Sus scrofa: one gene and its partner. Each later gene encodes a partner of the first gene's protein in a complex. Links are inferred from orthologs where the notes say so. Each region holds a gene or a part of one and is shown in the gene's direction. Other genes may lie near its edges.

Region 1 (8,271 bases):
ATAGCAACAACAACAACAACAACAACAAAAAGACAAAAGACAAAAAAAAAAAAAAAAGCCAGATAACAAAAGTGTTGGTGAGGATATGGAGAAACTGAAAACCTTACACATTGCTGGTAGAAATGTAAAATGGTACAGTCACTATGCAAAATAGAGTGGCAATTCCTCAAAAAGTCAAACATAGAGTTACTATGTAACCCAACAATTCCACTCCTGGGTATATACCCCAAAGAATTGAAAACATATTCACAAAAATTTGTACACAAATGTTCATAGCAGCTCTATTCATAATAGTAAAAAGTGAAAACAAACCAAATATCCATAAGCTGATGAATGGATAAGCAAAATGTGGTCTATCCATACAGTGGAAATACTCAGCCATGAAAAGGAACAAAGTCTTGATACATGTTGCAATATAAATGGACCTTGAAAGCACTATGCTAAGTGAAAAAGGCTGTACACATATTGTATGATTTAATTCATAGGAAATGTCCAGAATAGGTACATCCATAGGCATGGAAGGTAGACTAGCAGCTGCCTAAAGCTATGGGTAGTGGGGGATGGGGAGTGACTGCTGTTAGGTATAGATTTTCCTTTTCAGATGACAAAAATGTTCTAGAATTAGATAGTGGTGGTGATGATCACAAAACTCACTGAACTGTTGAAGTGTGTGTGTGTGTGTGTGTGTGTGTGTGTGTGTGTGTGTGTGTGTGTGTGTGTGCATATATATATATATATATATATATATATATTTTTTTTTTTTTTTGGTCTTTTCTAGGGCCGCACCTACAGCATATGGAGGTTCCCAGGCTAGAGGTCTAATTGGACCTGTAGCTGCTGGTCTATGCCACAGTCACAGCAACGTGGGTTCCAAGCCACATCTGCAACCTACACCACAGCTCATGGCAATGTCAGATCCTTAACCCACTGAGCAAGGCCGGGGATTGAACCTGCAACTTCATGGTTTCTGGTAGGATTCGTTGACCACTGAACCACAACAGGAACTCCCTGAACTGTATATTTTATTTTATTTTATTTGGCTGCACCAGTGGCATGCAGAAGTTCCTGGGCCAGAGATTGAACTCCCACCATAGCAGTATCAACATCTCGAATCCTTAACCACTTAAAAGGATAAATTTTATACTAAGTAAACTAGATCTCAATTAAAAACAAAAGGAAAAATATTTTTCAATAACGATTAGTGAGGGGGATGGTGGGCAGCATGTTAAAAACACAACATAGAAAGAAAAGAGCCCACAGCATCTGTAGAAGGGACTGAGGCAGGCCACAGAGATCTGGATTCTTGCTGCAAGGAAATGGAGGTTTTGTCAAACAGCTGGCAGGTGATGGAGCCAGAATGAATACCTTATGAGTCCAATTCTTGTAGTTTCTAGCCCTTCACTGGTTCAACAGGAAAATCGCTAGCTATCATGGCTACTGAGCACTTGACCTGTGGCCAGTCTGAATAAGGATGAGCTGTAAGGGTAAAATACAGTTTGGGTTTTGAAGAGTTTAGTATCATAAAAAAGAATGTAAAGTATCTTAATAATTGCTTTATATTCATTATGTATCAAAATCATACCATTTTGGGGTATATTATGTTAAATAAACTATGTTATAATTGAGATTAATTTCACCAGTTCTTACTTTCTAAAATGTGACTACTAAAACTTTTAAATTATTTGCGTGGCCTGCAATACTTTTCTTTTAGACAATGCTACTCTAGAGTACTGGTCCTCTAGAGGCAGGGTAGCAAAAGGGTGATATTAATTTATTCGTGAAAAAAATTTCACTGAGCATTCTTAAAAAAAAACGTGTTTTTTTTTTTTTTTTTTTTGTCTTTGTCTTTTTCGGGCTGTACCCGTAGCATATAGAAATTTTCAGGCTAAGGGGTTGAATCAGAGCTATAGCTGCCAGCCTATGCCATAGCCACAGCAGCTCAGGATCTGAGCCGAGTCTGTGACCTACACTACAGCTCACGGCAATGCTAGATCCTTAACCCACTGAGCAAGGCCAGGGATCGAACCTGCATCCTTATAGATACTAGTCGGGTTTGTTGCCGCTGAGCCATGATGGGAACACCTAAAAAATTTTTTTTTATTATAGTTGATTTACAATGTTCTTGTCAATGTCTGCTGTACAGCAAAGAGCTCAGTCATTCATACATATATACATACATACACACATATATATATATACTTACACACACTTCTCACATTATCTTCCATTATGTTCTATCACAAGCGATTGGATATAGTCCCCGGTGCCTAACAGCAGAATCACTGAACATTCTTGGCTGAACCAGCCTAAAGCTTATCACAAGGGGTGCTGAGAAGGGAGTGTCACCTGTACCTTCATTCCTAAAGGGATGGAGGGAAGGCATGGATGGTGTCCCTTTGCTTTCAGGCAAAAAGGTTGATGCCTTCCTCAGTAGATCCGGATGTATCTGAATGTCTGTGGCTAATCAAAAAAATTCGGCAAAGCATGGCGATTACAAAGGGCAGAAAAGGGTGGGCATCTCTTGTATTTTGACAAGATTTACTATTCAAGCAGAACTCCAAGAAATAATACCTTCAAAAGCTTCATCACCTAATGCAAAATACATTTGGTGATTGTGTTTCAGTCAGATCTGAGAAGTGGGCTGGGGTGGGGGTAGAGGAGAGTCAAAAATTGCAAAAAAATTCTCCAGGAGAGAAGAAACTTTGTCAAGTTTATTCTGTATCTTTAGCACCTGGAACAGTGCACCGCACACAGTAGGCGCTTCTTAAGTATCTGAATGTGTTAAGATGCAAAATTGTGTGAATGTTCGGGTGTATTTTCCAGGGGAGGAGGCTGCTGGCTTTTGTACAGTCTCAAAGGTGTCTAGGCCCCTAAAGGGTTAAAACCACTTAATACCGACAGGGACGTGAAATTTATTTGAAATCAATGTCAAAAATTGGTTGTTCTTACTCTGGGGTGTAGCCAGACCTTGGCGTCTGGAAAGATCTACGCGCTTAAAAATACCACTCGCCACCATTTTCTCCAGGTAATTTTCCATCCCTGCCCCCACAGTCCAGGGGGAAAAAAGTAATTCTGCAATCCTACCTAGCTATTAAAAAAATTAATCGGTAAAAGAACAAATCTTCAGGCGCCGCCTGCGTAGAAGAAGAAAGGGACCCACGCGGGCCTCGGGCGCCGCCGGGACCCCAGCCCCCCAAACTTTGCCAAGTTGCGGGCGCCGAGCGCGCCCGGAGGCGCGGGGCGCGGCAGCGGGCGGAGCCGCCCCCTGACGCCGGGCCGCGGCGCGCCGGGCCGCCCCCTCCCGGCCCGGGCCGGCCCCGCTGGCTCCGCTCAAAGTTTGCGGCCGCCCCTGCGCCCGCGCGCCCGCCCGATGTATGGGTGATATACTGCAGCGGGTGTCAGGGTGAGGGACGGCCATATTTGCCGGTGCGGCCCGAGCCGTCAACAACAAAAAGTGCGCGGGAGCTCGGCGGGCGCACGGACGGGCGCACGGACGCCGGGGCCGCCTCGCCGCCGTCCGGCCTCGCCGCCGCCGTCGCCCTCGCGGGCCTGGCCCCGCTGCGCCCCGGCGCGCCCCGCCGCTCGGGGGGATGTCTTACAAACCGAACTTGACCGCGCACATGCCCGCCGCCTCCCTCAACGCCGGTAAGTGAGTGCGCCCTGCGGGCCGCGTGCGCCGCGCCCCAAGTGCGGCCAAGTTGAGGGCCCGCGCGCCCGGCCCCGGCCCCGGCTCCCGGGGACCCGCGGCGGCCGGGGGTGGCAGGCACCGGGTCCCGGCCCGGGGCAGCGGGGCCGCCGCCGCCGCCGCCATGATTCTGGCGCCCACGCCGCCAAAGTTCGCTGGTGCGCCCTGTGCCGCGCCGGGCCTCGGGCCGGGCCGGGGCCCGGGGCGCTGGCTGCCGCCGCGGTCCCCCCCACGCCGGCGGCTGAGGGCTCGCGGGGAGCGCGGCGAGCGAGGGCGGGGGAGGCTTTCTCGGCTCCGTTTTCCTCCGGCTTTTGGGCGGCTCGGCGAGGGCCCCTGCCGGCGGGAGTCGGGAGCGGCCGGGCCGCGCGGGGAGCGGGGCTCCGGGAGCGGGGCGCGGGCCGCCCTTGGGGAGCGGGGGTCAAGCCCGGGCGGGGGCCGAGACTGCTGCGTGCACGTGAGCAAGGTTAGGCCACGCGCGGCAGCGCTGCGGGGTGGCGAGCGTGCCAAGTGCAGCCCGCCCTGAGGGCCCGGGGCCGCTGGGGTCACCGGCGGTGCAGGGGACATCATCGGTGGCGGCTCGGCCTGGCGCGTGGGAGCGGGGTGCCCAAAATGGGGCTCGCGGCAAGGTCCCCTCAGGCGTGTGCGGCAGAATGAGCGAAGTTGAAGACCCGGGGTTTCGGAGTGCCTGCAGGCGGAGGGTGGGGGCGGCATTTCGGCCTGGGGCCCGCATTTCGGGGCCCCGCATCTTGAGCCCCCAACTCTGGGTTTGGAAGGTCCCCTCCCGCAGAAGCCTAGGGGCCGTCCTCTCCCTTCCTTGGGGCTGGAACTGGACGGTCCCAGGAAACTCCTCCAGAAGTTGTCAGGCAGCTTTAGGCTGTGTCCAGGGTCTCCTCCCAAGGACGAAAGGCACCGGGGGGAGGGGAGGGTAAAATTGTGGGGTTCGGGGGTGATTTGCTCTTTCCCTTCACTATAGCCCTTCTCCTTTGGACTCTTGGTGGGAAACAAACTTCCAAAAAGCTAGGCGCGTGGGGGCGTGGGGGGGTGTGATTGGCGGGGAGGAGACTGGCGTCTCTGGTCCGAAATGCCACGCTGGCAGTTGTCCGAAAGTTTTGAGCCTTGTCTCCAAATGGTTGACTCCATAACTCCAAAAATCCTATAGGGGACCCAGAAAAGCAATGCATGTAAATAAATAAATATTTATTTATTTTTTAACTTCTTAGACACAGATTGGGGAGTGGAAAGGGTTAAGATTCAGGATGTGATTGGGTGGGGGATAGCTAAGTTGGTCAAATGTGGGCTCTAAGCCTCAAGAGCAAACAGCCACTATTTTCTCTTCAAATGTTCTCACCTCTTCTGGGGTCTGCAAACCTTATAAAGACAAGCTTTGCTGCCTGTAGTATTTCTCACTGCCTCCTTCATCTGACTGTGGTAAGGATGGAGGGTCTTGCTGCTGCCTGTACAGGTGGGATATCTCAGGCCTGCCCTGGTACAGCTGAGGCAGGGACCCTAAACTGGGACCTTTGGGGACTGGGGTCACGGTGGCAGAGGCAGCCACTCAGCACCCCTGAAGTCCTGTTCTGGGCTGGCTAGCACCTGTGCACAGATTTTCTTCTTTCTCCTCTGGTGAACTCCAGGAGGAGTGCTGAGGTCCCCAGATCTGTGGCAGGCTGCTCCCCTCCCTGTGGACCCCTTTGGAAAGCCCGATCTCCCCCTGCCATTTGCATCCAAGATGGACTCTCCGCTGCCGCTCCTCCGGCTTCCTTGTCATCATCCCTCACGCCCTCCAGCCCTGCCTCCTGCTCGCGAGTTGCCAAGCCGCGGCCTGGCCGGCAGTGGCAGTGGCTGAGTTAGACAAAGCCCCTGCCTCCCCGCCAGAGAGCCCCCCCAGGCGCCCCAAGTGGCGGGAAGGCCGCCAGCTCCCCAGGCCCAGGCTGCTCTTTGTCTGGCGTGGGGGTGGGGAGCCGCGCCTGGCCCCAGGAGCTGCTGGCCTCTGCCAATCCCTCCCTCAGCTCTGGGCCCTCCCTGGTCCCCCGCACACTGCGCACATTGTCTGCGATGCTCCGAGACGGCCGGCCAGCCGTGCTCACGCCCAGTCTGGTTTTCTCCGTGGCCTTCGGCAGCCGCTGGCCCTCCCTGTATCTGCGGGAAGGAGTGGGCATGAGTGGAACTCAGGGCCCTTCTGCAAACTCTCCCTAGGGCCACAGATACCCTCCCCGCCAACAGCAAGTGAGGCCACTGATTCGGGGTCCCTACCACATCACCCAGGGCAAGTCAAGCCCTGGGCTGTTTCCCATCTCCCCCTCCCTCCACACCCCTAACCAAAACGTGGGGGCTCTCCTTCCTCCCTCTTCCCAGAGCTCCCCTAAGACCTAACCCCAGCATTGCGGAGGAGTAGGAGCTAGAGCCTTTAGACATTCTGTTAGGAACCATTGCCTCAAACTGACGGATAAACTGAGGCCCAGAGAGGGAAGGGCCTTGCCTTAAGTCACACAGCTGAACTGGCTCCTAGTCCAGGCCCTTGCCTGTAGGAGAGAAGGTGGGGTCAGGGAGGCAAGAAATGCAAAACAGCAATAAGAGGAGGAGGACAGGTGTCCAGCTCACCTCCTGCCAGGGAGTTGGAATCTTCTAGATGCCTCAAAGTGCTGAACAGTGCAGTTCACCCCCCACCCCTCGCCCCCAGTCTTGGCATTTAGCATCCTGGCCTTACAGAATGGTGTAATACCTTGTAGTGGCCAGGACTTGAACCTGGGCCTGGGATGGCGAAGCCTGAGCTACCCAGACCGCACTCACCACCCACATCAGAAGATCAGGAAATTGGGGTTTGGTTGATGTGGTGAGGAGACCTGGGGTGTGGGGGACACCCGCCCTGCCACACCTTCTTGTGTTCTGGACACTGCACACTCACAGTTGCCTCAGACAGAGGTCCCACATGTGCTCACGTGCTTGTAGTTCCATACCACAGGTGTTTCAGCATCGCTGCTCTAGAGGTGTGGCAGTGAGGCTCCGAGCAGCACAGCGCTGTGCCCAGTCTGCAGCCTAGAGGTGGCAGAATCCATGTTTCCTGACTGCACATCTTGTGCTTGAGCATAAATCCGGGCCCCAGTGGAAAAATTCCAGGGCAGGCTTGAGATTGGGTATGGGGCTGTCCCCAGCTTCTGGACAGAGGGACAGGTAGCCGCTTCTGCACTGTGTGGCCTGGGGCAGTGCCCACCCTCTCTGGTCTGTGTTGCTCTCTCTCCAGGGAGGGGCTCCAGGGCTCCTTCCAGTTCTATCAGCCTGAGCTCCTGACTTCCTTCCTCCCTGCCCCTCCCCTTGCCCACACCAGATGAGCAGCTGGTCGGTTTGGCCGGCCTGGCACCAGCTGTCCATCCCCGGGGCCAAGTCTGCAGAGCCTGCTGTGTGCGTGAGAGAGGGACCGTTTGGCTCTGGGGGCGGCAGGCAGAGGGGAAGCTGCTCCCCGGCCAGGCGTGGAGGCAGGCGGGCAGCTGCTGAGGAGGGCTAGGTAAATTCTCCATGGTTACCGCTGTTTGTAATTCTGCAGGACATCCTTTACCCGCTAATGGCCACTCGGACGCCATTACGGGTCTGCATGCTTCCAGCTACTGAGCTGGAGCTGGAAAATTCCCTGTTGAGCATCTCCCAACTGCCATCTGGGAGACTCCATTCTGGGCCTGGCCCTGGCCCCACGTGGCCCCTCTGCTGCGGGCCAGTGTCTCCCAGTAGGGTCTGACCCCTCCTCTCTTGGGGTGCAAGCCATCTGGGCATAGACTCAGACTGTCAAGACTCTTGTCCCCTCTTTGGGGAGAGGCGACAGGAGCTCAGAGGTAAGGGACTTGTTTGAGGATATGCAGGCTGGGATGTACTCCAGATTCCTGACTTTGTATCTAGAACACCAGTCCCCTGCTAGGGTTGGGTCTCAGAACCTCTCGACTGTCCCCCATCTTCCTCACGATATAGTCCAGCAGAGGTTAGGGCACAGAGGAAGTATTAGCCCAGGAGCAGGCCAGCCTTAGTGGCAAGTGGGCTCCTGTGGCAGGCTTGTGGCTCTAGGGTATCAGCCTCTGGGGAGCAGGACCCAGGGAAAGGGGACTTGCAAGGGTTAGGCAGGAAACAGCAGCAGATTTCATCTTTGGTACCAATCTAGACTGAATGGATGGGAAGGATTTCTGTGTTTGATTAGCAATGTCTGCTGTGGTGGTTGGCGTATGTGAAGATCAGGAGCCTATTAGCTATATTTTACCATCAATCATCTAGGCTGCTTGTCAGCCATGGCCAAACCAGGAGCAAGAGTAGGGTTCTCTGTCCTTGGAGATAAAAGAGTACTGTTGATGGCTTGAGGCCTGAGCAGGAGGACTGAGAGTCCTCACCTCTGGTACAGTTAGCCAAGGCTACTTGATTATTAACTCCTGTCTCCTTCCCCGTAGCTGGGAGTGTCCACCCGCCCTCCACCAGTATGGCGACATCTTCACAGTACCGCCAGCTGCTGAGTGACTATGGGCCACCATCTCTAGGCTATACCCAGGTACAGCAGGGGGGGTGATGCCCAGGGGGAGGGGCTCTGAGGGCAGCCTGGGCCCTGAGGGGGA
Region 2 (8,417 bases), on another chromosome or scaffold:
GTGATAGTGCCTGGAGACAGTTTTTTGTCCGCCAAGTGTGTGGGTTTCCTGCCACCACCCTAACAAGCTACCACGGAGTCAGTGCCTTCAGGCAGATCCCCGAAGGGGAGGGTCTGCTGAGGCTGAGGCGGCCTCACCGGGCTGTGCCGGGCGGCGGGGCTGCTGTCTTGCCTCGGGCGCCAGCCCCGCTGGGCTTCCAGAGCCCCCACCCCCGTTCTCCGCCTCCGCCTTCGGAGCCAGGGGCCCACAACTCTCTTCTGCCCTGTCCCCACGTCAGGGCCACAGGATGGCCTCAGGCCCGCTTGGTGATCAAGAGACTGTTCTAAGGTCGCTGGTCAGCCAGCTTCCCCACACTCTTGCCACCAGCTGAGCACAGTGACAGGTTTGGGGTGAAGACCTTTGAGGGGCGGCACCTGCCTTCCACTGGGGCGCCTGGCATCGGCTGGGTAAGAGTGCTGCTCAGTTCCCGCAGAGCCCAGGCCCCCAGCAACCAAGAGTTGCGGGGCCCCAGGGTCCCCAGTGCCCTGGCTGGGAGCCTGCATGAGAGGCGGGGCCCCAGGGCACACAGGTCGGGCAGCTCACACTGCTCAGGACAGGGTGCCCAGTCACCACAGAGAGGGGACACTGTAGTGTGACCACTGTGCATCCATTCTAAACTGTCCCAAGCAGGTAGGTCTCTCCCTAAAGTCTGGGAGGACCAGTATGACTCCCCAGACTCAAGGGACACCACTCGGGTGCCCCTGTGGCGGCAAGGACGGTCACCTGGGCTGGCTCGCGGGTCAGGTGGCTCAGAGCAGGAAGCAGAAGCCCCTCTGGATACGCCCGGCAGAAGGGAGAGCTGCCCTTGGCTCCCCTCGCAGGGCACGGCCCCCAGGGCTGGCCGGGCACCTGGGAGGTGTCACTGGAGCCCTCCCCAGGCCAGCATGCAGTTGCTGCCCAGCACTGACCGTTGACCACAATGACTTCGTTGGTCTTACAGAAGCCTTGCTCGCTGTTCAGCGACCCAACAAAGTTTTAAAAATCTCGCCAAGAATTTTATCCTCAAGACTGCTGTTAACAGGGTGAAGTTTGTTCGGATATTTCTAAAGGCCCAGGCAGACACAAGAGCATGTACAGAAATGCAGACTAAGTGTAGAATAGTCCTTTCAGATTTTAAAATGTAGAGAGAAGACATGATTGCTGAAATTAGATGAATGCTTCCTTCCTTCCTCTGAGTTTAAGAATCAAATTATTTTTGTTTTTTGTTTTTATTCAAAAATTTTTTTTGTCTCTTTAGGGCCGCACCCATGGCCTATGGAGGTTCCCAGGCTGGGGTCTAACTGGAGCTGTAGCCGCCGGCCTACATCACGGCCACAGCAAGGCCGGATCTGAGCTGCATCTGCGACCTACACCACAGCCCATGGCAACGCTGGCTCCTTGACCCACTGAGCGAGGCCAGGGATGGAACCCGTTCCACTGCGCCACGACAGGAACTCCTCACCCCTGTCCTTTTTGCCAAGTGACTTGTCCCAGAGCTGGTCTAGGGGCTGGGCCTTGTGTGCAGTCTCCTTTCTGTCCATCTTGGGAGAGGAACACAGGGCGAAAGCCAGCCGAGGAGCGGGCGCGGGCTTGGCGGCCTCTCCCAAGGGTTTATTAGAAGTCACGGTGCTTTGGGAGGGCGATTCCTCCTCCTTGGGGGAGTCGTGCAATTCCAATGGCTTCCGACTGCCACTCACCTGCCAGCACCCGCGCCGGGAGGAAAACGGCCCCCACCTTTCAGCTGCCTCTGCTCTCCAGGGGCTGTCTTATTTCCAGAAGGGAGGCAGGAGCAGGCACTTTACAGGCAGGACGTTGTGGGCACTCTCTGTGACCAGCAGCTGCCTGGGCATGTATTTATTGGGGGTTCTGATTAAGTTTTGGTCCACCTGTTAGGTAGTGCTGCAGCTTCGCCGTCCAGATGAGGAGATGCAGGCCCCGGAGGCAGGGACCAGGCCTGCGGGGAGCGAGGGAGACCATCGCACCTCGCGACACTTGGGGGACGGCCTACATGTCAGCAGCACCTAGCCCCTGCTCCTCTGCCTTTCCTGGCAGGCGGTCAGCCCTGGGGCCTCTGGAGCCCCAGCCCCTCCAGGTCCCACAGGGCTGGCTCCTCCTTTGCAGCCCCCTGGCAGTCAGGTTGATCCTGGACCCGGCCCCTTGCTTCTCTCCGTGCGGGGCTCCATCCCCTCCGCCCAGCAGCCTCCCCACCCGCCTCCCCGGGCAGCGTCCGGGCCGTCCTGGACCTCAGGCGCCCAGCTCACACGCGGGGCTGGGAGGACAGGCGGGAGCCTCGCTCGCTCCCGCGGCCCCCGCGCCTCCCTGCACCCCCTGGTCTGGGCTGTGCCTGCGGGGGGGGGCCCCCCCGGGGGCGGGGGGCGCCTTCCGGAGGGCGGCCTCCTCCGGGCACGCCCACCCCTCCTCCCTCGGGCACCGTCAGGGGGGCCGTGCCAGCTGAGAGGTGGGGGAAAGCGGCCCGCAACTGTGTGCCGGGGGCCGTGCGGGCGGGGCGCCGAGGGCCGGGGCCGGAGGGCCCGGGCCGCCCACGGAGCGGCGGGCGGCCGAGCGCCTGCGAACGCGCGGACTCGGAGGGCGCCCTCGGGCGGGAGGCTGCGCGGAAAGGGCCGGGCGGGGGGCGGGGGGGGGCCAGGGCGGACCCGGGGCGGAGGGCCGATGGGCCGCTGCGGCCCGGGGCCCGGGGTGCGGGCGGGGCGGGGCGGGGGCGCGGGAGGCGGCGGGGAGCGCGCGGCCGCGGGGCGGGTAACGGCCCGCGCGGTGGGCGGTGGCGCCCGAGGCCCCTCCCTCCCCGCGGCCGCTCCTCCTCTTCCTCTCCCGCCCGCGCCGCGGCCCTCGGTCCCTGCGCGGCCTCGGCGGCCTCGGCGGCCTCGGCGGCGGCGGCGGCGGCGGCGGCGGCGGCGGCGGCAGCGGCGGCGGCGGCGGCGGCGGCGGCAGCGCGGCCCCTTTAAACCGCCCGCCCGCCCGCGCCCCCGCGCCCCGCGCCCGCGCGCCTCCATTTTCCAGGCCGCCCGCGCCGAGCCCAGCGCCCAGCCCGGCCCAGCCCGCGGCCTCCGCCGCCGCCGCCGGACATGGCCGCCAACATGTACAGGGTCGGAGGTAAGGCCGCCGCCCGCCCGCCGCCGCCGCCGCGAGGCGCCGCGGGCCCCGGCCCCGCCACCCGCGTCCCCGCCGGGCCCCCCATCGCGCCGCCCCGCCGCGCCTCAGGCCCCGGTCGGCGCCCCGGGCCTCGCCGTCCGCCGCCCCCTTCCCCCCGCGCGCGCCCCCTCGGCACCCCCTGCCCGGGTCCCCCATCTTGTCCCGCCCCTCCCCCCGTTCCGCTTCCCCCCTCCCCCTCCGCCCGCCTCCCCATCGCCCCCCCATCGGCCCACTTCTGGTCCCCTCCCTCCACCTCTGCACCCCTCCCCCACTGCAGGCCGCCTGCCTGGGCCACCCTCCCTCCTGCCCGCGGCGCCCACTCCTCTGCTGCGCCCCCCCCCCCGCCCCTGTCTCCTTCCCCTTCCCGCTCCATCTTTTCTGAGCAGCCGGCTCCTCCACCACCACCTCTGCCCTGGCCGTGCTCGTCGCCACCCGACTTGGCCCCTTGGCCCGGCCCCTCCTGGAGCCGGTGGGGGGTAGTGGCTGGGCCGGCAGCGGCCAGGCGGGGGCTCTGCCCACCTGTTGGGGGCTGAGCGTGGGGCTGAGGAGCTCTGGGAGTCGCAGAGCATCCTTTGGGGCTGGGGCGCCTGGCGGGATCCCCCCAACTCGGGAGCAGGAGCACGTGGCATTGGGAGGTGCTGGCGGCTCCTGGGAGTGGGAGTTTGGGGCCCTTGTGGTGTGGAGAGCACCCCCGCGGCGGCGCCGAGGGCTGGTTCAGCTGCTGGGGGCGGGGGGCAGTGGTCCCCTCGGGGGGTGGGGAGCTGTATGTGGCGGCCGCGTTCCCGCCGCGAGCCTGCGGTCACCTGGGAGCTGCCCTCTGGGCCGGCGTGGGCCTGGGGGCTTCCCCGGCAGGATTCCCTCTCCAGGTCCTCAGCGGCCTGTGCTCCCCCCAGCGTGCTGCTGGCACCCTGATCTTTTCTCTGCTGTCTCCTGTTTCTGCGGCCCAGCAGGGAGGTGCTTTGCATTTGGGAAAGAGGCAGGTGGCCCCCTGGTTAGGGGGTGCAGAGCTAGCTGAGATCCGGGGTGGGGGCTTCCTTCCTGGGGCTGTTGCTTCTCCCACTCAAGCCCCAGGAAGCCTCCAGCTTTGGGCTTTGCCCCACTTTGTGGGGAGGGGGCTCTAGGAGGCTCGTGCTACGGGTCCCCACGGGGTCCCGAGCTGGCCTCATCTGGTCCTTCACAGGTGGTGAGATGCCCACCCTCTCGGAGACTTTGAGCCGCCCACTTGCCCCCCTTTGGTCAGGGCTGAGGACAGCTCTGGCCTGGCTTTCCAAGTCACCTGTGTCTTCAGTCTACCCTCTCTCGCTGGCCGGCTGACCCCCGAGTGCCAGGCCAACCTTGTGACCTTGGGCGCACCCGCCCCGCTGTCCAGCCCTCCCTCCTCTCTGGCTCAGAGGTGTCACGGAAATGGGGGCCCTTACCCCATTCGGCAGCAGGCCCCTGGTGGACACGGCGGTGGCGGGGGGAGAGCAGGCTAGGGGGCGGGGGCCTTCAGAGAGGGGCCTGTTGGTTTCCCAACTTCTCCAGTCCGGGGGGGAGCCGATCTGTGGAGGGAGGCCCCCGGGGTCTCTCAATACACTGCCAGGCTGGGTGGCCCCCCGTGGAACCCCACGGACGGAGTCGCTTTCTCCGTCCGTTGGCCCCTAGCCCAGCTGCTGCAGCCCAGGGCTCCTGCCCGCCTCGCAGCTGCCCCCTTTCAGTGCCACCCCCTCGCCCTCCTGGAACGCCTTTCCTCAGCGCAGACCCCCTCCTGCCCAGCCCAAGGCCCTCCTCTGGTCTGGCCGTCCCCCCGCCCACTCGGTGCCCCTTGGCTTTCCCCACGCAGAGCCTCTCTGCAGGTGTGGGCTCACCTCCCACCCCAGGCTGTGGCCCTGAAGTCTTGCTCAGCGTGTTCAGTAAATGGAGTGTTCCCAGGGCAGGGGCGCCCAGCTCCCGGCCGGCCGCAGACACCGAGGCTGGAGAGGGAGGCTTGGGTGTCACCCAGAGGCCCTCCGTGGCCTCCTCTGCCTCTCCCTCCCAGGCCCCCCGCCCCGTGCCTGCTTGTCGCGACTGGTTCCAAGGGCCGGGGTGCCCCTGGACTTGGACTTCTGTCACCCTCCTCTTGGCAACCCCCCTCCCTTGGTGTAAACAGGGGTCCTGTGGTGTAGCCCATGGGTGGGGCTGCTTCCACTTGGACCCCTTCGGTCCCTGCAGGGAAGCCTCGTTTGCCCCTGTCCACTGGGCCGTGGGCTCGGCCGGCCTGGTGCGGGCCGGCTGGGCTGCTGTCCCGAGGTGCTGCTGCTGCGCGGGGGTCCGTGTCTGGGTGTCTCAGGGTCCAGATGGAGGCGTCCTGCCCTGGCCGGGGGCCTGCCCCCGCCCGCCTCCGGGGTCTCCTCCACTAAAGACCCGGAGAGCAGAGCCTTTGCCGAAGGTGCCGGCTTCAGCAGGGAGAAGCACAGGACGCCTGTTAAATTTGAATTTCAGATAAACAGTTTCTTAGCATACGTGTGTCCCGAATACTGTGTGGGCCACACTTACATGAGAAGTTGCTCGCAGAGTCCCGCGTCACTTGGGAGTCCTGCGTGTCCCACCTGGCAGGCTGTCCCAAGGCCCTGCCAGGAGTCGGGCGGGGTGAAGGCCTGGCTGCAGCTTTGGGCCAGCTGACCGCCTGGGCCGATTGGGTCGGCCTGGGAGGGGCAGGGCCTGCTTCGTCCCTGGGAAGTGACCTGGCCTGGACAGAGGCCTTCTGTCGGCAGTGGCAGCTGTGGCCGCAAGGGTGGCAGGCGAGGTCTCGGTGTGTACGGCGGGGTCAGCCACGGCCCGGCTCCTCTGGGGTCCGTGCCCTGAGGGCAGGGGGGCCTCGAGCAGGCGTCCAGAACCAGCCATGGGCTGAGGGCCCCACAGACAGCTCTTCTCTCTGGACGGTTCATGCAGAAACCTGGTCTGCTGTGTCTCAGGACAGAAAGGCGAAAGCCAGCAGCCCGGAGCCTCCTGACAACACAGCCACTGTTTGGGGAGGTGTGGTTTTTGTGTTTTTTGCGTTTTTTCTTAGGGCGGTGTGTGCGGCATATGAAAGTTCCCAGGCTAGGGGTCGAATCGGAGCTCCAGCCGCCAGCCTACACCACAGCCACAGCCACGCCGCCAGATCCGGGCCACATCTGCGACCTCCACCACAGCTCCCGGCGACGCCGGGTCCTCAACCTGCTGAGCTGGCCCAGGAATCGAACCAGCATCCTCGGGGTACTAGTTGGGTTTGTTACTGCTGCGCCACAGCGGGAACCCCTGGGCGGGTGTGTTTTAATTGGCGGTCGGTAGCTGCACCCATGTCAGGGTTTCTGTTTTCCCTTCTTTGGGAGAAGGCAGCGTCCCCTCTTTCCGGTAGTTTGATTTTTAAAGATACACTTGGGAGAGGTAACGGGCCCGCCCCTCACCCTGCAGGCAGCTTGAAGTGTCCCTGTGGCCAGAAATGCATCTTTGGTTTTTGGGTAAACTTTTGAACAGGTGCGGCCTTCACACATGACAGTTCCGCACTTGGGCAGGGCCAGCCGGGCTGCGCCGGGGACCCAGGCGAGGCGGGGGTCCCGGCATGGGCCTTGGGCTGCGAGGGGCCGGGCTGGGCCGGGGCCTTCCGTGGTGCCTCCCGGGGGAAACGGGGCCGTTAAAAACTCGGGCTGATGAGAAGAGGAGCCGTGGTTCAGGGAGGTCGGCGTAGACGGTCCCAAGAAGCACGTCCTTCAGGCCCGAGGTCCCCTTGGCCCTGCACCCCTGCTGTCTGCAGTGACCTGCCCATGCGGCCGGCTGGACACACCTGCTCCCCAGCTTGCCTGCCCAGGAACTTGCGATCCTGCGCTGTCCCATGCTGCCCCGGCTCCGGCTGTCCCTGGGCCCCCGCGTCTCTGCCCCCCAGGCCCGCCTGTCCTCAGGGAGCAGCTGGGCCATGTCTGAGGGCCTGGCGTCCTGGGGCTCCCGGGCCCCGCGTGGACAGGCGAGGCTGCCGGTGCCGTCCCCAGGGCCACCCGTGTCCTGCGGCGTCTGGGGAGAGCCCGGGAGGCACCCTTGGCCCCCGCACCCTCTGCCTGGCGCCACGTCACAGCCACGGGGCTGCTCCCTCCCCCCCCGTACCCCAGGTTTCTTGGGGCCTCCGTGCTCCTCGTCCGTGGGACGTGGATGGGTGCCTTCTCGCAGGGACGCTGGGCCCTGCGGCCCCTCCCTGGCCCTTTTCCAGCCGCGGTCCGTGTCCAGCCTTGGAGGTGGCGCTTCTGAGGAGCAGGTCTGGTGGCCCCCCCTGGAAACCGCCCCTTGGCTCCCGCAGTGGAAAGTTAAGTCTGAACGCCCTAGAGGCCGGGCAGCTGGGCCCTGCCCCCGGTGCCGCTGGGCTCTGCTGGGTGACGAGTGTGACAGTGACACCTTGAGGTGCGGGCTGCTTGTCTCAAGGGGAGGGCGGGGCTCCCCTGGGCTTGAGAGGGCAGCCTCAGCTCAAAGGCCGGGCCCAGGGGGTTGTCGGCATTCTAGGCCAAGGGCCCTGGGAGGGCCTTCTCTGGGGTCTGCTTGGAGATGATGCTGTCCCCTCATCCAGTGTCCAGAGGGATGGGGACACCTGCCGCGCTCAGGTGTGGCGCCTGGCGGTCCTCAGCCCCCGCCCTGTGCTCCAGCCCTCGAGGGAGGCCAGGCCCCTTGGTTACTGGCCACTTCCCCCTCTAGGCAGGTCCCATCTCATTCCTGAACTTTTGCGGGGACTGCACATGGCCGTCACTGGCTGTCCTTGCAGGGCCATCACTGTATGCGGGGGCCCACCGGGGTCCCTTCGTGCTGCAGCCTGCGGGGGCGCGTGGCTGGGAGGCCTGGCTGGGAGATGGAGCTGCCGGGCGGGGTGGATGCGGTGGTCCTCCAGAGTCCCGGGTCCGGGTTCCCCAGACGCCCTACCCTCGCAGGGAGCGGCTCCTGGGCTGTGCTGAGTTCCTCCCAGTCCATCCCCAGGCTTGGCTTGCCCACGCCTGGGGTCTCTGCTCCGCCGTTCCCGCTGCAAGGAGCCCGGAGGGCCCGGGGCTTCGGGGTCCCGCCCGGAGAGCTGGTGCACGTCAGCTGTGGAGGGAGGCTCCGGGGCCTGGCCGTGCATGTGTGCGTCACCCCACGTGGCCTGGCCCTCCAGGGTGGTCCCCGCGTTCTTGCGGAACTTGCTTTTGTCGCCCTGGCTCCCCTGCGAGCGAGTGCCTGCTGGCTGTGGCCACCCTGCCCGCTCACTGTGGACGCGCATCCCGTCCAGCCTCATCACC

What was found.
Region 2: CDK2AP1 (region 1) and MTA1 share a complex: the UniProt entries of both Homo sapiens proteins name them as parts of the nucleosome remodeling and deacetylase (NuRD) repressor complex. The link is inferred for Sus scrofa from reciprocal best matches to the Homo sapiens genes CDK2AP1 and MTA1.

What each region holds. Positions count from the first base shown.
Region 1 is NC_010456.5:29,627,749-29,636,019, forward strand, and holds the start of CDK2AP1 (cyclin-dependent kinase 2-associated protein 1), read left to right. Parts: upstream 1-3,335; 5' UTR 3,336-3,590; coding exon 3,591-3,645; intron 3,646-4,038; exon of another isoform or gene 4,039-4,148; intron 4,149-8,109; coding exon 8,110-8,207; intron 8,208-8,271. UniProt on the Homo sapiens protein: Inhibitor of cyclin-dependent kinase CDK2. Also acts as a component of the histone deacetylase NuRD complex which participates in the remodeling of chromatin.
Region 2 is NW_018084979.1:3,458,020-3,466,436, forward strand, and holds the start of MTA1 (metastasis-associated protein MTA1), read left to right. Parts: upstream 1-3,021; 5' UTR 3,022-3,101; coding exon 3,102-3,129; intron 3,130-8,417. UniProt on the Homo sapiens protein: Transcriptional coregulator which can act as both a transcriptional corepressor and coactivator. Acts as a component of the histone deacetylase NuRD complex which participates in the remodeling of chromatin.